Lepisosteus oculatus: one gene and its partners. Each later gene encodes a partner of the first gene's protein in a complex. Links are inferred from orthologs where the notes say so. Each region holds a gene or a part of one and is shown on either strand. Other genes may lie near its edges.

Region 1 (7,369 bases):
CGATATACATGCAATATGCATGGGGTCCCTATCTAGGTCTTGTTGCGATGGTGTCCCACAGTTATGCGTTTGGCAAAAGCGTGTCAAGGTAGGGGAAGAAAAGGAAAACGTGCCTTAGAAAATAAAAACCATAGATCTTACAATCACGGTGATTTTACAGACATTACAACCACAGGTTTATGTCATTGGTTAACTTGTTGCCATTATTTTAAGGAGACTATATGTTTATGGATATTGATTGTCTTTAAAATGTTAAGGGTACGAGCTAAACTGTAACAGCGCGCTTGAACTCGGCAGACGGGGTCACTGGAGGTCAAAGTCACCGTGCATGGTCACGTGATCAGCGGAAAAACAAGGTGCTTTATCTCGGGAACGAAAGCAGCACAAACGCTACTTTCAACGGTACCAACAGGCACAAACGTAGCACTAACGAATGAGGTGGGTTTCATCGTTTGTGCTGTCTGTAGTGGGACCAACGTCACGGAGCTTTTACCTTGCCTTTAAATATTCAGCGGACTTGAGCATAACATACCAGAAGAAGCTCGAGGTAAACCCTGCATGGTATTTTAAATACAATATTTCGGACGGATTTTGAATCTTGCGTTTTGCGTTGTGTTCATTGTGTGGTGCAACAAAATATTAACTTCAGAGTAACTCGTAAAACTATTGAACAATCTATAAGCGGGCATAAGAAATACTTAGAACTGTTATAAGCAACAAGTGAAAATGGGCTTGTTTGATCCTTCATGATGCTTTTAAACGTGTATGAAACCCATTAAATTAGTATTCTATTTTCGATGCCAAAAGACACCTAATTTGGAAATCCGTGACTTCCTAAAAGACTTGACACTGAATTGTTATAGTCGCATTACAGTGCTAACCAATTAGTCGTACCTTTAATTGCAAGAATGGTCTGCTAATAAAAGCGCACATACATACTTTGGATGTATTTTAGCTCTGTAAACACTAAGGGTATGCGCCCAGGCCCACCCGTGGCTACGCCCCTGCCTCACAGTAGTACTCAGTGGACATGACTGAACTCAGTAATGAATCCAATTCATAGATAGGGATTATTAGGAGGCCATTGTAGGTAAAGACCAGGGGGAAGTTTGGCACACCCCCTCTTTTCAAGAAACGTCCTGGACTTTTAAATGACCACAGAGAGTCAGGACCTCGGTTTTACATCTCATCTGAAGAACGGTGCCTTTTTTCCCCACAGTACAGTGTCCTCTTCACTATACTGGGGCATTAGGACCCAGGCCACAGGGTGAGCCCCCTGTACTGGCCCCACTAACACCTCTTCCAGCAGTAACCTTATCTTTCCCAGGAGGTCTCCCATCCAGGTATTGGCCAGGTTCACAACTGCTGAGCTTAAGTGAGTGGTCAGTTGTGGGTTGCAGGGTTATATAGCTATTTAACTTTTTGTGATTAGAGATGTATTATTTACTATTACTTATTATTATCTGGTGATTAGATTCAGTGTACAGTAGTATCACTAGGCTTACCAAGACAAGTGGATGAATTGGTGTGTACAGTATCACAGTGTGTGGTGGTTAGTGCTGCTGCTATACAGATCTTAAGTCCTGGGCTCAATTCCTGTGTGGCCATCCTTCTGTGTGGAGTTTGCATGTTCATCCTGTGTTTCTAGGGGTTTTCTTTAGTTTTTTGTTTTCAGATAGATTGTGGTTTTTGTTGTCTCTATGTGTGGGTTCTGTGATATATGATACATGCTGCAATAAATGTGTAACTACTCCAAACAGACTTATTTAATTCTTTGACACTTACACGTGGACCATATTCATTTTAAAGTAGATCTGGTCACTGTTTTCTATATTTCTACATTTTGTTCATGAAGGATGTATATTTTAATTTTGACTTTTCTAAGTTTTCTTTAAACAATAAATATTAGAAAGTGGCAAATGCAGTGCATTTTACTTTGTATATGTAAAATACAGAGCAGCTTTCAAGGTGATCAAAATAAACACTAGCATATTATTGCAAATTGCTGTGCTTATGAAATGGTAAATCACTGAACAATTAATTTTTCAAAAGTCCTCTCAATAAAAGATGAAAGCACTGAAGATAGCACGTTGAATGTTCTGCACTCAAACAGCACATGTTCTATTATTCAGAGGCCATGGGATTCAGTAATGTATTGAAATATTATTTGTTTGTTCACTTTGGCCGTTGTGAATAAAGTACTATACTGGCAAATTACAGAACCCTTGGTGCTACAACAGATTCTTTCAGTGGATTTTTCTTCCTATGAAAGCAAGAGGCCACTGATTTGATGGGTGTATTTCCACATGCTGGAGGTTCCAGATATGTAAGTCTAGGGATGGAGCTCCAACAGTGCAGGAATGGGTGCATACCTTTTAATGCCATTTAGGTATGACATCATGGGCCGATGGACAGGACCGTTCAAAACTAAACAGCTCAGAACACAGAATAAAAAGTAATCAGACCATAAAACATACAGTCTCCTGATATGTTAGAGAGCCTCGTGGATTTTAACATTCTTTCAAAGCCAAATGGTGAAGAACTCACACCTAGCAATCTCTTTAACATATTTAGATCGAATTTTATTAAAAAGAAAAAAAAACATAAGAAATAAGGTGCATTTGTAATATAAAACCTTAAGACTGTAAAGCCTTAAGCAAACCAATTGAATTTGTCAAGTATACTCTATTCTCTGTTTTGTTAGTCACCTGTCACCATTAAGTTGTCTACATGTACTGTCTTCACCATACCAGCTCCAGCTGAAGTCTTATTCACAGTGTTCATATGAAATCTTGTTGTAGTGTACTGTTCACTGATAGCTTGCATACACACCCAAATCACTGGATCAACACAATATCGTCTCGGCCAAAAGATTTAGCTGGCAGCTGCAACCTCCTAAATTAAAACATGATCTTAGATTTGTTAGACATAGAAGAAATTAAGTTTCCCTTGTAATTCTGTAAAGCAATGTTGTTTTCTAACTGAGAAACAGACAGGCAATAGCATAGGCAATGTCGCAGAACGTGCTGCCAATAGGACCCAAGCCATCCCCTTTCCAGCAAATCTGTTTGAGTGGTAATGGATCTGTGCATCTGATTGGGTTCTGCCAGCCTTTTAACAACAGGGCCACTCCAAGCTGTGATTAGAAGTGTTCCACCCTCATCTCTGCATATACAGTAGACGTTAATAGAAATATACAGCCATTGATTGTTATGACATCGAGAGGAACTAAAACTGCTGCCTAGCACCTCTTTGAATGCAGGAGAATCCCTTGGCAACATGTCTCCCACTGAGTCCATTGACATATCTCTGCTGCACTCCAGTCTAATTAAAGACATTGATTACGGATAGAACAATTACAGCCTGCTGATGTGATCTGAACAGGTTAATTAATGAACGGCCTTATTAGGGCTGTCATCGTGAAGCTTAGGCTGAATCCAGCTGTTTATCTTATTGCCTCCTCATTATTTCTGTGGTATTTTATTAGGCATGGGATTTTCAGTTTCCTTTCTCTGTTAATCTGAATTCAATAATTTTCACAAAAATCCAGGATTCTAGACACACCTTTATTAGGGTCATTAAATACACTCACATGGCAATGATACAGTTTAAAGAGTGCTACATAATCGTATGCACATGGGTGCGCAAAATGTCCTAACACCCCAACCGGGTTACAGGATAACTTTTGAGGTATGTCATGTTCTGCACAGACAGACAGCCGTGTATATGCAAACTGAGGGAACAGAATATTTTTAGTCTATAAACAGAGTTTAATGCAAGGGTACTTGGTTCAAGGATTCAAATTCCTGAAAGGGATTGACTAAGGCAACCCAACAGTCTTCTCCAGCAGTGTATAACAGAATGGCAAAAAGAGCAAGAGTATTTTAGATTTATTTACACAAAGGGCGGCAGGAGAGTGTAACAGGTGATCCAGCCATGTTGTTGATGCATAACCCCAGGTATGGTTCAGGAAACCGCAGGGTGAGATGGCACAAATTTAGCAGCAGAATACCCACAATGGACGGAAAGGCCTAATCTGGTTTGTAACCTACGTGTTTTTAATGCTTAAAAACTTTATTCCATAAAACATGGCACAGACACACAAGACAAAGCCCAAACAACGAGTGTATGTATGAATGGTGTGTGTGTGTTTTTAAACCCCTTCTACTCAGTTGCCTTCGGGTATTTCCGTGGAAGTAAGTACCCACAGTACGTGAAATAACCTCCGTCGTGAGGCACTTCATCAAGACTCCTGCCCAGCGCTGAACAACTGCGGCTTGTGAGTGGACGCAGCACCGGAGCTCCACTATGGCACCGCCTTCCGTCTGTGCCCTCCCCGCCAATCCCCCACATCCCTCCACCCCCACCAGGAAACAGGGCTCCGAGCTGATCTGAAGCCTTTCGGCGTGTTTGTTGCTGTATTGTACTGTATGCAGGGAGAGGGGGGGTTGTTTTAAATCTCTCTCCCGCTCAAGTCTCGTTCCACCCCCCCACCCCCCACCACGCCATTTCATTGCGGTATATTTATATATAGGTACTCTTTTATTTATTTTTATTTTATTTTGTAGTTTATGATTTTCCCTTTTTATTTTTTTCACGCTCCAGGAGGGCAGAAATGGCGGCCAACATGTACCGGGTCGGAGGTATGTCAGTCTAGATTTTTGATTTACAAAAGTGTTGGTATTTCTTTCAGCGTGACGGGGTGTGCATTAATAGATATTCGCAGAAGTACGGTTTTAATGTGCCTGTCAAAAAGCTGCGGGAAGCAGGTCTTTTGCGAGCCCGGTGCAGCAGGAATTTTCAATTATTTGGGATTAAAATCTGGGTCGGGCCTTAAAACTAACCATTAGAAACTGAAAGCAGCACTCCCAAAACAAACACCATCTGATACTTTTTCAATTTTTGATACATTTCCTACACGTGTAAACGTCTATTGTGATATAAGGTCTTGAGTGTTCAAAGAGTGAAGTTGAAAGTAAGTTTTACAGTTATATTCTGGATGTGCGTCCATTGTTTCTCGGGTGTTTCTTTGTATTTATGCCCTTGTCTTTGCAATGATCTCCATTGGTCCCTGTCCGTAAATCAGTCATTCACGGTTTATTATGCACGGTCACATCCAAAGACTTGCAATTCGGCAGTCGTATGGTCCCAGAGTGTGTTTTTCTGTCATTAATCTGGAAAAAGGTGGTTGTTCTTTTTAGTGTCTCCTATGTTATAATAATGTCTATCGGTTTTTGAAACTCCGGTTGCTAGGATAAAAAAAAACATTTTTCATAATGGCTGGAATTTTCTGCCCCCCCCCCCCACCACGCATTATTTTTTTCAAGGTAAATAAAATATATCGAAATTACTGAACGAAGCTAGTGCGATCAGACTGGTCTTGTGTGAAATTTTGTGCTTCAAAGTATGGGAATGTTCCAGTCACGTGACACCTAAAAATATTGGCATCTTTTACGACAATCTTTTCTTTGTCATCAGGTAACTGGAGAAGTTCGTCCTTAATACAATAAAAACTTTGCTTTCTGTTTTGAAATCGTCCCGGCTTCTTTTTATTATTATTTTTGAATGATCAGAATAAGAGTACTTTGTATTGAATTAAATTAGGCCTTACATAGGTAGGTGTCTGGCCTGGGTGTCTTAAAACGTGACGTAGCTGCCAGTAGTGTATATGCACTTTTATGTCAACACCTAATAAACAACCACATTACATATGTGCGTATTACTTATATATGGATATAGACCTGTATTCTGTTATTTAAAATTCACTTGAGCAAGTCATTCTGATGTTTTTTTGCCCTTCAATCCAGTTTGTTTTTATTGCATATAAAATATTTTAGAGATTTGTATCTGGTTTATACATTGTAAAGGTTTAATATAACCCATGGATTATTTTTTTTTAATTATTTAAGTTGTTGTGTGGAGATCTTTCAATTCTACTTCTTCCTAATTCTGCTGTCTTGGATCACTAGGGACGCTTTCCCATGAGCTCTGATGTTCTAAAAACACTGAGTCCAGAAGCTGATTTCAGGGTTAGGAAGTAGGAGCTCAGGAAAAACCTGCAAATACTTGCACCTGTCCATGGCAACTGGTCCTACTGCTCCTTAATTTCCTCTGAGACCAACTAACACTCTTAAACCTCTTAAGTATCTTAATGTTGCCTTTTCTGACATTGCCAGCAAACACTCCTTTCTAGACATTAAGGCTTTTATTTGTACATACGTGTTATATACATGCAGGTATATATATATAAATAAAAATACATGCACATAGCAAACTCAGCATTTAAGTCGATTTAACTCTTGTGTTGGGTGTTTATCATGTTATTCTTTAGCATGATCACCTAAAACAGCATAACTGTGGATATGTACCTAATTCAGTGGGATTCTGCATTTTGAGCGGCATTACTGGAGCTTTTTTGTGTATGAGAAAAATGCACCAGGGTTAATGTTGTTTAAAGTTATGCGATATGCCACTTTCTGTGTTACAAACACCTTTGCAACAGTAATGATATGCTTTTCACTGAGCATCGTCATAGGCATTATTTGTATAAGAATTATAATTTATTTCTATTTTCAGTTTTAAAAAAAAGATTTATCACATATGCTTCTGTGTTTGCTCTGCATTGATCTTCAGGCATCAAAGTGCAGGAGTCTCAAACTCTGTTCCTTGGGGGGGCTTTTGTCTTCTGGTTTTATTTAAGTACTCAATTAAAAAGTTAACCTCATTTTGCAAATTAGACATCCATTGCATTACTGTAAATCTGTAATTATTGTAAATCTAGGTTAAAGAAAAATAATTTGTTTACAAGTTAAATATTGACAATAAAAACATTTCTTTTGAAAAGCTCTAACCCTGTTTGTTTTGTTGCAGATTATGTGTTCTTTGAGAACTCTTCAAGCAACCCATATCTAATCAGAAGAATAGAAGAGTTGAACAAGGTATTTTGCAGTGTTTTTCTGGGCTGGAACCAAGAGCAGGGTGGGAGTGGATGTTTGTAAAACCCTTGAGGGGATGACCTTTAAGGAGCAAAAAGCTTACATTTCTTAAGGGAACTGGGTAAAATTGACAGACCAGTATTTGCTCATGGTCACTGATCTTATTTTTACCTACTTGTATACCGAGGTGGGCGGACTTTAATCGTTGTTAAGGATTTTGTGAAGGTTGATCTTTGCATGTAATTCATTTTGCCTTTGTGCTGAGGGATTATTCGATCTGACCATTTAAGTTGACTCCTGGGGAAAGTGTTGGCAATAAGGAAATCATGGAAAGTAATCTCTCTGTTGACTCTCAGTCCTGTGTGACTGACAGATGTCAGCAATATGTTGTTATTGCTTGTGTTTCTATAGGACTTTCCATGTCAAAAGATCCC
Region 2 (7,150 bases), on another chromosome or scaffold:
ACTATGTCCTGTGTGGATCGGTGCTCAGTGTTTGGACTAAAGTAGAGGGCGTTTTAGCGTCGGTCAGTGGAACCAATGTGAAAATGCAAATCGTTCGTTTAAGAACTGAGGATGGACAAAGAATCGTTGGTAAGTGATGATAAAGTTCCCTCATCCCCACCCCCATGCAAGTCATCAGGAGGCCCCTGTTTACAAGCTTTAGCCCAGTGCTGTTATTTCATTTTGTTTTTATTATCTGTAAGTAGCATACAGCTGTTTATTATAACTAAAAGTTCATATGTTTTGGGCTTATTTAAATTTGGTTCAGGGTTTGCCTACCTAATTAACAAATGTGATTAGTAGTTAGGGTACGATTGGGTAGTTTGCTTTAAGGAAATAATACTATTAGTCTCTTAAGCGTCGGTGCTTCCTTCTACTGTAAAACTATCCAAGACCAATAATTTTTTTAATGTTTGTCATTGACAGGTTTGATCATTCCAGCAAACTGCGTAGCCCCGCTGATAAACATCCTGTCCTCGTCAGACCAGTCTCAACAACTTGCTGTCCAGCAGCAACAAATGTGGCAACAGCTTCACCCACAGAGCATTAACGCCTTCAGTAACACATAGCACCCAGCGTGGACTGGACAGTGGACTTAATGTGTTACATTTAAGAACATGCTCTGTGAGCACATTGTGAGGCAGTCAGAAGGAAACATTCAGGGTTCTTGTCCAAAGAATTTTCTTTCATTAGAAGTTCACTGGAACATTCAACACCTCGCACTTCAGTTCAGAACTGAAGAGACCTCTGTGAATTTCTGGAGGAGAAATGTTGAAACAGATAAAATATTTCTTCCTCTTTTTTTCATAACGTTTCATGTGCTTTCTACTGGCTTCTGGTCATAATTACAGGTTTGTTCTGTATCTTCTGCAAGTGGAGTGCTTGAACTTTATGACATATTACAGTGCTCAGGGGTTAGTTAAAGAAAACAATCACTTTTTTTAACTCTGATATGCTGAGAATATATATTGAAATGCATGTCACCTCCCCCTCATGTTCCTTAATGTGTTGATGCATACATTGTACAAAGCATGGAATTGCAAGTTTACTACACTGCATACAAATGTTTCCTGTTCCTTTCATTTAGTGTACCTTATATTCATGCTTATGAAAATGGTTCTCAAGGTGTAAATTCCTTTTAAGACCATGTTCACCACAGGGTTCAACATGCTAAAATTGTGACCTTGCATGATTTTAAAAAAATATCATCCCTGTTTTCCCTTTGTGGTTCACTTTAGAATAAACATTTCTTTAATCATAGCTAATTTAAACAAAAACATTGGACTTGCAGAATGGCTAGTCATTGATCTTCAATAGTATGTTCATGAAGGTATATACTACCTTTTGTTCTTAAAATCCCCAAGATATCAGTCTGTAAACTGGAATGTCATTTACATTAAGGCCACTTCAACCTTGTCTGGTCTTGATTTATATTTTTTAATTTTCTATTTACACATTTTAATATTTGCTGTCTCTTGAAACAGATCTGATGCATTTAATTTCAGGACGGGACACAAGACTCTTTATAAAAGCTTTTCATTTGTGCTGTAAATGTTATAAGATCGAAAATGTTTCTCTTAAACTGGTATGGATATTTTGCTGTACAAATGTGTATAGTTACATATCTTAAATATGAATTGTTTGGCTTATAAGTAAAATTGATGTTTATAAGATATTGAAGGACAATGTCATTTCATGCTTGCACGAGTTGCACTACTGACAGATTTCATTGTATATTGAAATTAAATCTGTTTAAATTACATTGCTGCAAGATTAGGACATCTTGCATATGACCAATAAATCTAGAAAAACTTTGTGAGTTGTGGCTTGTGTCTAAGAGAATTATAGGAAAAAACTTTTTTGCTTCTTGAAAGTGTTTCAATTTGAAACATTCATTTTATACTTGGTTCTGTGCTTCAGATTAATTTTCCTCATGATGGTTTTCAATGGACATGACCAGAATGTTTTAGAGCAAGCTTGATTTTTTTTAAAGAACATTTTGTACCTCATACAAATGGCATGATTAGTCAAGTGTTTTTTAGAGCAATTTGCTGAATGAGGCAGGTTAGTTTTTTTTATTTTTGTTTCTACTCTTTATTTCTAAAAAGGTATAATGTTTTCTTCTGTACTTCAATGGAGGGCTCAGGTTCAGCAACTTCTGACTGCAAGCAAATGGGTTATTTTTAATTTGTCTGCTGAGAACTAAGAAAATAATCAAAGACTATAGGAAGATGAGATGCAGTTTGCTGCATGCTGATTACCTGATGAGATTAATCAATGAAAGCTACACATTCTTTTTCCAGGCTTGATTGTGATTGATTATGGAATCTGATTGTTTCTATTGCATAATGTATATGACCACATAAGGATTAAATTGTAATTATATTTTGTTGGAGAAGGATCTACAGCATATTGCTCAGGACTATTGGTTGGGGATCTCTTCCACTAGGAATCACCTCATGGAGTGTTTTTCAAGAGCCAAAAGCCAAACCTTCTTGGTTTGGGATTTCTGTTGCACAGAGATTTAAACACTTTTTGCTTTAGTCCTACTGCAAAATCCTGTTTTATGTAAAAAAGTAAATGGATCTACATTTGAGTTCAGTTATACTTTATGCAGTTTACACAAAAATAATAATCTTAAGGTCTATGTACCAAATAAATTTTATTTTTATCAAGTTTTAGATTCCTTGGTAAAACCTGGTATTTGCCTGATAATCCTAACTATAATGTGCTCTCATTGTTCCATACCAGGCCATTCCTAAAATTAACACTTGAATGTACATTATATTTGACTCTATAGTTGACTATTTCTCCTGTTGCTTCACACAGTCAATGGGTTATTTTCAGCTGATGGCCATCCTATTGTGCATGACAATAGCAAATCGTGGCCGTGTATAAACCAGGCTTGTGGACAGGCTCCGGCAGTTTGGGTGGTGAAGAGAGAATGCTTTTGTAAAAAATCTGGCCAGGAGGCTGTTTAATTTTGAAGATGAGCCCACAATCCCCCCATTCTCACACCCCCCAGTTAGGTGCGGAGCACGGAAAACGGTGGAACATGCGTCTCGACAATAGGCAGACAAAGTACAGTGCTAGGCATTCACGAACTCGCGCCATACGTCACTCCTGCTACCCATGGAAAAAATTAGCATTCACTTCGCTCATGTCGTGGGGTGCGAAACGTGGGCGGGGGAGGGGAGCGTGTTACACGATAGGAAGAGGTTAAGAATGGCACGCGTCCCCATTGTCAGACTTAGAAGTTCCTATGGCTGCCTCGTGCTTTTTAGATTTTTATATGCATCTTATATAAACTCATACATTGTATGAGCTAAGTAAACCGCTTATTTTCTAAACGTATTGGGTACGTTAAGCAAAATATGCGGGAAAATAGACCACCTTGTTGTTTTTAACTACCGCTTCCAGACAAACATTTAATCATTTTTGTCTGGAAAAGGAAATTATTGTAATTATCGCAACCCTTTCCTACCATGCATTCTCGATCTAGGTGGTAAAATATTACGACTAAAGTATTTACAGTATGTTCTCTAAATCTATGTGAGGCGGCGGGAACGCATTTTTCTTCCTTGCTTTAAAAGTAATTGCAATTATTAAAATATCAAAAAGTTATTGTTGCACGTTGATGAATAAAAAAAAAACACCTCGTCCCCTTAGTTTTTTAAATTAAAAATACATCTAAAAAAATACGATGGGGTTCTTCCTAAAACCTGTGATTGAATTTTTTTTTTAGAAAGTTTAAAACTTTAATTTGAAGTATAGCTGACGAAGATAACCCATCCGTTATCGTAAGAGTTGCTACGAGCCCGATTAAAGCAAAAATAAAAGTTTCAAAGTTTGACGTGGTCAGTAACCTGATAAAAAAAAAGCCAGGGTTCGGCAAATAATGTTTTTTAAAAAGCGTTGTTTTAAAATAGATTACGACCTCAAAAATATGAAATCTCTTTTCAAAACCGAATTTTAATCGCCGCGGCGTTTCCATATGAGTTTTGGGTCTGACCTCCTCGCTTTTGGTCAAATTGCCATAAATTTCCCATTGTGATGATAGATTGCATTGTGGGTGTCAATATAAAGTGACGGCCATATTTGCCGGTGCGGCTGCTGTAAACAAAAAGTGTCTGAGAGAGACAGAGACGCTTCAGTGAATTTCAGGACATTTTTATTTCTTTAATTTATAATGTCTCTGGGAATGTCTTACAAACCCAACCTCCACCCGCACATTCCTGGGACTTCCGTGAACCAAGGTAAGGCTGAAATATCCGCGAATTCTCCACTGAATCACTGTTTTATTAGATGCAAAATCCGCTGTTATAATGAATACCTGGGGAAAGCCCGTGTCTGTAGTTTTTGTCCAGTTATATATATAGGGTCAGATCCTGAGAGCTGATTCATATCCGCCATTATTACTAATCATAAAAGCTTTTTTTTTTCCGCATCCGCAAAGTAGAGAAACGGAGGTTAACTCTTCGCTGGGGACCGGGTTTGCGGTAGCCGATACCCGCTTTTGTTCGCACGGATGCTGGAAGAGTGTTATAAAAAATGTATCACTTTGGCTTCTTAAATCAGCCCGTTCGGTATCCTCCATGATTGTCTCCCCAGGGCCGATGATTGATCTGGATCAGGAATGTTCTTTTTTTACGCTCTGGGGACACCTAGCGTTCAAAATGGCTTACTGCACGGAAGGCTTACATGAATTGAATGCCTGTAGTGTAGGTGACCGAGAGAGACTCAATTGCCTAAAAAAAAATCACCTCTGAAATACGGAATACCAGCCGAAACGTTGTGTTTCATTTCTTCTCTTTTCAGCACGGAATAAACCTGACGCAGCTACCTACTCGCACCTCTGAAATGTGTTTTTCTAAATTCTAAATAATAATGATAAGTGTCCAAAATTCTCAGAAGCTACGCCAGTACGCACATACAATTGTTTCTGAATTGTATGTGCCACCAATTACCCCGCGGTGCGACGCAGCAAATATACAGAGGCTATCTCACTTTAAAATATAATTAAGAGATTACATATAATTTGAATTCTAATGAAGTCTTACGAGTAGCATTGACAATTGAAACTGTCACGATTTTGCCTTGCGAAATGTAACACAGTACAGTTTAGAGCGTTCACATCTGCAAGCAGCAGCGAATGTAAATCAAGTACAACACAACGTGCCCTGGCTGGAGTTGTTCTTCTGTGTTTCGGGGGGTGGGTCTGGGGTGTGTGGAGGAGCTTCAGAAATGAGAAACGATTCCTTTTGACCTCATTGTCCGTCTCTTTTCCTCCAGTCGGGAATGTCCACTCTCCTTCCACGAGCTTAGCCACACTGCAGTCTTACCGGCCACTGGTGAATGACTACGGGCTGCCATCCTTGGGATTTTCACAGGTAATTTTAGCTCGATCAAACCACCTGGTGGTTAGTCTAACTGAGGCGGAGGTCGTGCCAAGAGAGGCTGGTGAGCAATTCCGTTCGCTCTCCGTGGGCACAGATGTTGCCAGTCCCTTGCAGATGCCCTCTGTGTGGTCAGTGAATTGCCCTTTCTAAGAGGACTCAGCCCAGGAACTGTTCTCCTCTTGCAGGGGACCAGCGGAAATCAAGTGCCTCAAAGTAAATATGCAGAACTCCTAGCCATCATCGAAGAGCTGGGCAAAGAAATCAGACCGACGTATGCTGGGAGTAAAAGTGCCATGGAGAGACTAAAACGAGGTAATTAGTTTTGTTTAAGTGAGTCATTGAATCTATTATACCTTAATCAGCCAACTACATCACAGTGTACTTTGGCTCCGTTTTCAGCAGGTTTTAATCCCGATACAAAACAGCATTCATCTTCCGGGATGCATCTTACTGTGTAAATATAAACAGGTGATCTGTAGTCGCATGCAAACTTCTGACTACTGCAGCCACTACACAAAGTGGAGATGGAGAGAACCACCCAAGGCTCAAGTCCAATATTTTCCCAGGCTCTTAAAACATAAGAGTGGATACAAGCGAGGGGAGGCCGTTCAGAAGATGTTGCCTGTTTTGATAGTTAGTAGGTAATTGTTCCAGCTCATCCAGCTTGTTCCATACCCCCACCAACCTTTTTGTAAAGTTTAAAACTCATTTTCACTTAGTTTGCCCTTGTGTCCTCTGGTTCACGTTGCAGTTCTCCAGTTCTCTCTGAAAAAGTCTGCTGGGGTGGACTGTGGCAGTGTCCTCAAGCATTTCATATGCTTTCTTACGGGGTCCCCTAGTCGCCCTCTCTGTTCAAGGCTAGAGAGATTCAGTCCCTCGGCCTGTCGGTGGTGTACAGTATAGTGACATGATGGCAGGGGCCCTTGAGCGAGCGAGAATGATGACGTGTTGTTTTTCTTTCTTTTCCAAGGGATCATTCACGCTAGAGGACTGGTACGCGAGTGCTTGGCGGAAACGGAGAGAAACGCCAGGTCCTAACCACGGGAACAATGCTTTCACACAGAAACCCTGAACAGCATCTCGCAACCCTGCCTTCTAATCATTCTCTTTTCAGGAAAGCCAGATAGCTTTCCAGGAAAGCCAGATAGCTTTCCAAATAATAATAATAATAAAAAACTTTTGACGTCTGGCCTGAAGAATGCAGAAACGAAAGCTAAAAGACCAGTATATAAAACTATACTTGACATGAACCTCTTCAAGGGTTCTTTATTCTTTTTTTTTCCATAGGGGGATTTCTGATTCTTTCTTGACTGCTTATATATAAAAAAAAATAAAAAAAATAAATAAAAATCTGATGACTTTGCATGCATGGTAGCAAGTGCTCCCAATTAAAATTTAAAACTGCATGGCTTGTACAGATTTAGACTGTAGCAAGGGACATTTTAAGATGGAATAGGGCCTAAGATTCAATATTTTTAACACACTAATACTTAGGAGACTGAGAAAAGGATAGTGCCAAATACACCACACACCGGATTTGGATAAACTATTGTAATAAAGCCATTATTTGCATCTTTGTATGTATTTATTACTCAGTGTAATAAAACTTATTTTCATTAAGACCTGCTGTGTTGAGAGATTCATTTCTGTAGGGTACCATTGCACAACTGCAATTCTGTATCTAAACAGACATAAGATATCATTCAGCTGAG
Region 3 (7,314 bases), on another chromosome or scaffold:
GACTGTGCTTGAAGACTCTGATCAGAGAGAGGAAACAGGGACTAAGAACACTGACCGCTAAATGCAAGCTTACAATTCAATACAGCCCCCGACTCCTGCTGCCCCACAGCCACTCTTGCCACTTGGTGACACAAGCCCAGCCCAAGTAGGGGCACAGAGCCCTGGGTTGTTATCAGAGTCCTGAAATCACCCCCTTGCACGACGATCAGACAAGAGGACACAGCCCTCAGAGCTGTGCCGGAGGTTGCAGCTGCCTAGAAATCGATGCACATTGTTTTGCGTTTTCACTTCGGATGAGTATTGATTTCTTTGACGACGCAGCCTGTGTGTTCAGCACTGAGCACAGCTGTGGTGCCGGGTCTGTGCAGGGGGAGCCTGGCTCCAGAATGCACTCCCATGCTGACACAGAGCTCAGAGGGGCAGGGCAGCAGACACACCTGCTCTTTCTTCCGTGCAATGCGAGTCCTGTATTTCCCCCTGGAGCTTCTCCAGCCCGGTGCTGATCATGTAGAAGGCAAGGTCGGTGCCACTTTGTCCCCGGTGTTGCCATGACAGCAGCATATAGAACGATGGGGTGTTTTGGTGTTCCCTCTGTGTGGCAGAGACAGGGGGTGTTTGAAAGGTGACAAGGGTTGCAGGGACACACGCAGGCGGAGACTCTGAGTCTCTGAGATTCATAGAGACACGCAGATACACTCACAGGTAAAGACACACACAGACTCTAATAGAGCCTCAGAGGGTCACACAAGCCCACAGAGATAGATTCACAGAGACTCCCAGCGATCAGAGACGGTTCCGCTAACTTTGTCCCCCGTCTCCCGCCTTCCACAGAATTTGTCATGATGCTGTCGTCGCGGTGATGGAGCCTCGGGATTGGATCCCTGGAGTCCGTGCAGGTCACTCCTCCCCAGAGAGAGTCAGTCCCCTTCCCCTCTCCCACAGCTCGGAAGTCCCGCTCACTGCCTGGGTCCCGATGTCACCATGACTCTTCATTTCCTGTCGCCCAGATCTCCCCAGTGTCCTGCTCCCCCACCTGTCTGAAGGAATGAGCTGCTGTTCTGTGGGTGATCTGATGTCTCATGCTGCTCTCCCTGACAGGAACGTTGTGATCTCTCCATGGAGAGGTCCCTGTCCACTGTTTCGTAGTAATGAAAAGCTGCCCTGTAGCGATCCGATGTCTGGTCCTTCTCTCCAACAGGAACAGTGAGATCTCTCCTTAGAAACTCTGGGTTTACACTATGTCCACAGTTTTCTAGTAATGAGCTGCTGCCCTGTGGTGATCCGATGTCTGGTCATGCTCTCCAAGGGGAACAGTGAGATCTCTCCACAGAGCCTTGGCGCCTTTGTCCACTGTTTCCCAACAATGAGCTGCTGCCCTATGGTGATCTGATTAACCATTCCTGCTCTCCCACAGGAACAATGTGATCTCTTCACAGAAACTTGGGTCTTTGTCCACAGTTTCCCGGTAATGAGCTGCTGCCCTGTGGCGATCTGATGCCTGGTCATGCTCTCCCACAGGAACCGTGAGATCTCTCCTTAGAAACCCTGGGATTATACTATGTCCACAGTTTTCTGGGCTGCTGCCCTGTGGTGATCTGATGTCTGGTCATGCTTTCAAACAGGAACAGTGTGATCCGTCTGCTGAGCTTCGTCATCTCTGTATTTGTTTCATATTAGATGCCTGTTTACCGGTAAGGGCTGTGTTAGAGGCAGGATGGCCTGCTCTGTTTTAAAGTCAGATCCTTTTATTACTGAGGATGAGAGAGTTGAAGACAGTAATTGTTATTGTATATCTGTGAATCTGTACAATGCCTCAGAAATGTACGTACAATGCATAATGATTTTTGTGAGTGTGTACTACAATAATAAATTAGATATTTGTCAGTCTCTTTTAGAAAATGTGTCTAACACAATCTATGACAACAAACCCATGGTATAACAACAATCGTGAGTGGCAGAAGACAGAACATGAGGTTATACACACAGGGACATATGTTACCTATTTGATCAAATAAACATTTAAACATTGTTGTGTAGGAAGGAAGAAGCACTGCATGTTTCCGCTAAACGATTCAGCAAAGTGAAAACACATCATTAGAATCTGATGTTCATGAGCCTATCTTGCAGCTGCTGTTTGAGACAGCACCATAGAGCAAACTGAAAAAATTTAGTATGAAGGTAAGAGTTCTCTTGAGACTGTGCGAAGCACCTTAACAAAACAGTCTGACATTTATGATGTTCAACTGACATGCTTTGACAATTGTTTTACACAGGAAACTGTATTCCACACCAGCCTCTTCACTATTGAGAGCTCATACTAACACCTGTATTAACATTGGAACATAAGAATATTTACATATGACAGGCCGTGTGACAGCTGGAGGAACTAAACCTCGTTAGTGTGAAGGGAGTGTCCCACACTGACAGGCTGAAGGAACTGAATTTCTAAAGTGTTGAACATAGAAGACTATGATCATTCCTGAAAGGCATCAACAAAATCAATCCAGCAGATTTCTTGAGAATGACCAGTGAAACATGAACTAGAACTACTTTGCTTTAAAAGTGCAAATAATGTTTTAGCATATCACCAGTACATCAGTTGGATACACGTTATAAACAAAACAAGATGACCTCTGCACTGTCTGGCAGGACATTAAACCAAAGGGCCTAAGTGAATATCTATGAGGGGCACAAATCCATCCAGGTGGATGGAATTAGCAAAGAGACCTGTGAAATGTGTTTTTTACTGTTTTTGAAAAGTATTATTTCTTCTCCCAACTTAATGATCGGTAGCTTACTCCAGGAACTGCAAATACCAACTTGTGTGGTCGCGAACTCTGGTAGAAAGATGCCAGTCAACACAGCAGCAGGTCCAGGTGGAACCTGTGGCTGAACACTAAAGTATTGTCTGAAGAGCTGAGGGGAGAGAGTCAGCAGCTGTTCCAGCTCTCTGTAGACACTGGCACCGGCCCTGCTGTTTGGACACACGCCACAGCTCTACCTGCTCCCAAGAAGAACAGACTAAAAGCTCTCAATGCCTTGAGGCCGATAGCTCTGGCTCCATTAGTGATGCAGACTCTTCATTAATAGATACTGTGTGGCTGCTGTTGTTGAGTCATCTTATTCCTCCCAGCTGAAATCGTGTCTGAAATCGTCGCGGGCAGGGTTAGTAGCAGTCAAAGTTGCCGTATGTGGTCATGTGATCACCCCCAAATCAAGGCGCTATATCTCAGGAAGGAAAGCAGCTGGGAAGTCACTTTCAACGGCACAAACCGGCACAAACGCAGCACTAACTGAGCAAGACCGGTCCGGTTCTCCTGCGCCGTTTTGGGGCTGAGTGACGTCACACCCCTAAATAAGAAGGCGCTATATCGCGGAAACAAAAACGGCACAAACTCAGCACTAACGCACGAGGAGGGTTTCGTGGTTTGTGATGTTTGTGGGGGTGGCAGCTACACGGAACTTTACACCAGCACTGCTTTCTGCTGAAATTGCCGCTTGAGGATGAGTAAACTGAATGACACCCTCTCATTCATAAACATATGTATAGCGTGTAAACGTATAAATGTATGTTCCTGCGCTGTATTTAATCTGTATCATCTATAAGGGCGGTGCGGTGGCTCTGTGGCTGAGGATCTGTGGCTGGAAGGTTGCCGGTTCGAATCCCACAGTTGGCAGAGGAATCCTACTTTGTTGGGCCCCTGAGCAAGGCCCTTCACCCCAACTGCTCCTGGGGTGCTGTATAAATGGCTGACCCTGTGCTCTGACCCCCAGCTTCTCTCCCTGTCTGTGTGTCTCATGGAGAGCAAGTTGGGGTCTGTGAAAGGTCAAAGTCCTAATAAAATAAATTGTATATGGCCTATAAAATGATCTTATCTTATCTATATAAAACTTTTTAAAGTATATATTTTATGGTTGTTCCCCTATTTTAAAAAAGAATGCTGTCTCTTTAAATGGTGCAGTTAAAGACCAGAGAGAACAAGCCTTCAGTAATGAAAGGTCGGGAGTTAAGAAATACCATTCCCATAGAGCTCTGCGACCCCATCTCGCGTTTATAAGAAAACCGCCGTGTACCTCGCGCTCATGGGAACTGTAGTTTTCCTTTGTTTGGCCCTGGCAGTGGACGGACTGCAGTGGCGATAGTGACGACGTGGGCGGAGCATGAGGGGTGGGAATATGTCAGCCAATCGCTGCTCTTGACTTGTGCGCGTCATCGTTTTTTCGCAGACGGACCACGCCTCCCCGGGAAGAGCCCGGTGCAGGGCACGACGGGACAGGAAGCGCTGGCAGGCCGGTGTGGACGGCTGGTTTCCCGACGATCGCTCTGCTCCGCTTTTTATTACTGCTTTATTTAATTTCATTCTGCAACAGAGCGGGGAGCTGCACAGCTATACAAATCCACAAACATACCACACAAGGGAAGCGCTCTGGAGTTTTGAAAGAAACGACTTTAAAAAAAAAACCCAAAACAAAATCGAAAAGCTCAGGTTCTCTTCCTTCTTTTTCTCCGAAACACAACTCGGCGGCGCTTCCCGGTTTGAAATCAGCTTTAAAAAGCCGAGATCCGCCATTGATCCGCCTCTGTCCGCATAAAGCGCGTTCCCTCCCGGTCGGGATTAAACTCCGCTCCTGAGCCCAGACTTCTGCTCTCCTCTGCTCCGTTTCCGTGCCCTCCGCGCCCGAGTCCCCCGTGGGAGGTCGGCGTGTTTCGCCTGTGGACAGACAGCGAAGACCGGCGGAAGTCCGAGCGGCGCAGCGACCTGACGCTATGAGCTACAAGCCCATCGCCCCGGCTCCCTCCGGCACCAACCACACTCCCCCCGGTGAGAGAGACGCGCTGCCAGTGTGATTGCGTGTAAGAGTGAGAAACGGGGCACAGGCTGCCCTCTCGGGGACCACACGCCCGCCTCCAGGTTCTTCTGAGAGTCGGGGTGAGACTCTGCACGCCAGACCCCACTTACCCTCAGCCCCGCACTGCTGTGTTCGTGCCCCTCAACAGCTGTTTGGGTTAAACCGACAACGATGCGTTCGGTATTTATTGCCCATTCCCAAGCGATACGTGATCTCCTTCTGTCCGGAAGCGTGCTGGGGTGTCCAGTCACTAGAATCTCGTTTCCCCTCAGAGCCAGACCCGGCGGGTGAGCTAGCCTGCTTTCCTGGTGCAGTCGCCTGAAGAAAGCTGGACCGTGGTCCTTTCCTCGCACAAGAACCCGTAACACTGGTGCTGTTGTATATGTCCACCTCTTCTCCACTGATCGCACAACTACACATAATCATCTCTCAGGGTCCGAGCAAAATCCCTGCCTGCGTACCTTTCTGGCTCACCTGGAATCTGACAAAACTTCACTCTGTTACTCAAACTGAGCTGACTATATCTGAACATGGGGTACTGGCGCGTCTGTATTCCTCTCTCAGTGTGTCTGTACTGTATTAACCCCTCTCTCTCAGTGCAGTGTTAATGTACTGGAGTGTCCAGTCAGTGTGTCTGGACTGTATGAACCCCTCTCTCTCAGTGCAGTGTTAATGTCCTGTAGTGTCCAGTCAGTGTGTCTGGACTGTATTAACCCCTCTCTCTCAGTGCAGTGTTAATGTCCTGGAGTGTCCAGTCAGTGTGTCTGGACTGTATTAACCCCTCTCTCTCAGTGCAGTGTTAATGTACTGGAGTGTCCAGTCAGTGTGTCTGGACTGTATTAACCCCTCTCTCTCAGTGCAGTGTTAATGTCCTGGAGTGTCCAGTCAGTGTGTCTGGACTGTATTAACCCCTCTCTCTCAGTGCAGTGTTAATGGACTGGAGTGTCCAGTCAGTGTGTCTGTGCTGTATTAACCCCTCTCTCTCAGTGCAGTGTTAATGTCCTGGAGTGTCCAGTCAGTGTGTCTGTGCTGTATTAACCCCTCTCTCTCAGTGCAGTGTTAATGTCCTGTAGTGTCCAGTCAGTGTGTCTGGACTGTATTAACCCCTCTCTCTCAGTGCAGTGTTAATGTCCTGTAGTGTCCAGTCAGTGTGTCTGTACTGTATTAACCCCTCTCTCCCAGTGCAGTGTTAATGTACTGGAGTGTCCAGTCAGTGTGTCTGTACTGTATTAACCCCTCTCTCTCAGTGCAGTGTTAATGTCCTGGAGTGTCCAGTCAGTGTGTCTGGACTGTATTAACCCCTCTCTCTCTGTGCAGTGTTAATGTACTGGAGTGTCCAGTCAGTGTGTCTGTACTGTATTAACCCCTCTCTCTCAGTGCAGTGTTAATGTCCTGTAGTGTCCAGTCAGTGTGTCTGTACTGTATTAACCCCTCTCTCTCAGTGCAGTGTTAATGGACTGTATTAATCTCCCACTTTATTTCTCTCAGGTTCCAGTGTTTCCTCTCCATCCTCCTCTCTTCCTGGTTCCTCCTCCAATTACAGGCCTCTCTTCAATGACTTCGGTCCCCCATCCATGGGCTACGTGCAGGTACGGTCCTGAAACACAGGACACCTTGTGATTCTCACTCAGCTGTAACAGATACTCCATGTCAAGGATGGGCCCTAACCTAGTCCTAATCCTCCGTGGTCTGTGTGCTGAACACACACAGGTCCTGGCCTGAACACACACTGCAGTAAGGATGGGTGGAAGTGTTTGAAATTTAGGTACAAATCTACAGTGGCAGACCAAGTCACGGTTCTTGGTTTCAGAAACAACAAACTGTGAAGGAACTGAATGTTTCTGGGGATCCGCAGCTCACTTGCCTGTTCACAAAGAGAGAGTTAAAGGACTCGGATGTGATTAGTATTTCCTATGTTTTTGGTTTGGAAATTACATTTTTTTAACATCCAAATAAGCATTGTTTTGGATTTCTTTATTCATAGGCCTCTGACATAGTGAGCGATTTACAAAACAACAATTTGTAAATTTTTGTAGCCTCTCCAGCAGCAGTGGAGCAGCAGCAGTCTCAGTGAAGCAGTGAGTGACGTCACGCAGGTCTGTGTCTAGTTGACTAGTTACGAGGTAGACTACTGGGGAAAGGTTATGCGTTTACTGAAGGCTTTATAAAGGAAAATGTAGGTCTCTCTTTATCTGATGACTAGGTTAGTGTGCTCTGGGTTCCTGGGGAGTCCAGTGACATTATAACTCTGAGTTGTGCTGACCTGAACCCTGGTTTCACAGTTAATCCAGAAGTATTATAACAGGGCACAGCAAGATATGAGGTCCCCCTGATGGAAGGATATGAGGGGTCACTAGGATCCTTTGGTGGGCAGGTTAGGGTACAGAGATAGGGTCCCCACTAATGAAAGGAGATGAGGGGTCTCTAGACACTCAGGTTAGGGTCCCTTCTGACTGGAAAACC

The links.
Region 2: mta3 (region 1) and cyclin-dependent kinase 2-associated protein 1 share a complex: the UniProt entries of both Homo sapiens proteins name them as parts of the nucleosome remodeling and deacetylase (NuRD) repressor complex. The link is inferred for Lepisosteus oculatus from reciprocal best matches to the Homo sapiens genes MTA3 and CDK2AP1.
Region 3: mta3 (region 1) and cdk2ap2 share a complex: the UniProt entries of both Homo sapiens proteins name them as parts of the nucleosome remodeling and deacetylase (NuRD) repressor complex. The link is inferred for Lepisosteus oculatus from reciprocal best matches to the Homo sapiens genes MTA3 and CDK2AP2.

The regions. Positions count from the first base shown.
Region 1 is NC_090712.1:14,766,426-14,773,794, reverse strand, and holds the start of mta3 (metastasis-associated protein MTA3), read left to right. Parts: upstream 1-4,369; 5' UTR 4,370-4,615; coding exon 4,616-4,643; intron 4,644-6,870; coding exon 6,871-6,938; intron 6,939-7,369. UniProt on the Homo sapiens protein: Acts as a component of the histone deacetylase NuRD complex which participates in the remodeling of chromatin.
Region 2 is NC_090717.1:7,570,774-7,577,923, reverse strand, and holds cyclin-dependent kinase 2-associated protein 1, read left to right. Parts: upstream 1-4,110; 5' UTR 4,111-4,228; coding exon 4,229-4,295; intron 4,296-5,331; coding exon 5,332-5,429; intron 5,430-5,623; coding exon 5,624-5,750; intron 5,751-6,408; coding exon 6,409-6,476; 3' UTR 6,477-7,058; downstream 7,059-7,150. Other genes in the region: sbno1 (protein strawberry notch homolog 1), read left to right, coding at 1-129, 466-608. UniProt on the Homo sapiens protein: Inhibitor of cyclin-dependent kinase CDK2. Also acts as a component of the histone deacetylase NuRD complex which participates in the remodeling of chromatin.
Region 3 is NC_090701.1:43,944,143-43,951,456, forward strand, and holds the start of cdk2ap2 (cyclin-dependent kinase 2-associated protein 2), read left to right. Parts: upstream 1-4,242; 5' UTR 4,243-4,768; coding exon 4,769-4,823; intron 4,824-6,339; coding exon 6,340-6,440; intron 6,441-7,314. Other genes in the region: cabp4 (calcium-binding protein 4), read left to right, coding at 832-860. UniProt on the Homo sapiens protein: Acts as a component of the histone deacetylase NuRD complex which participates in the remodeling of chromatin.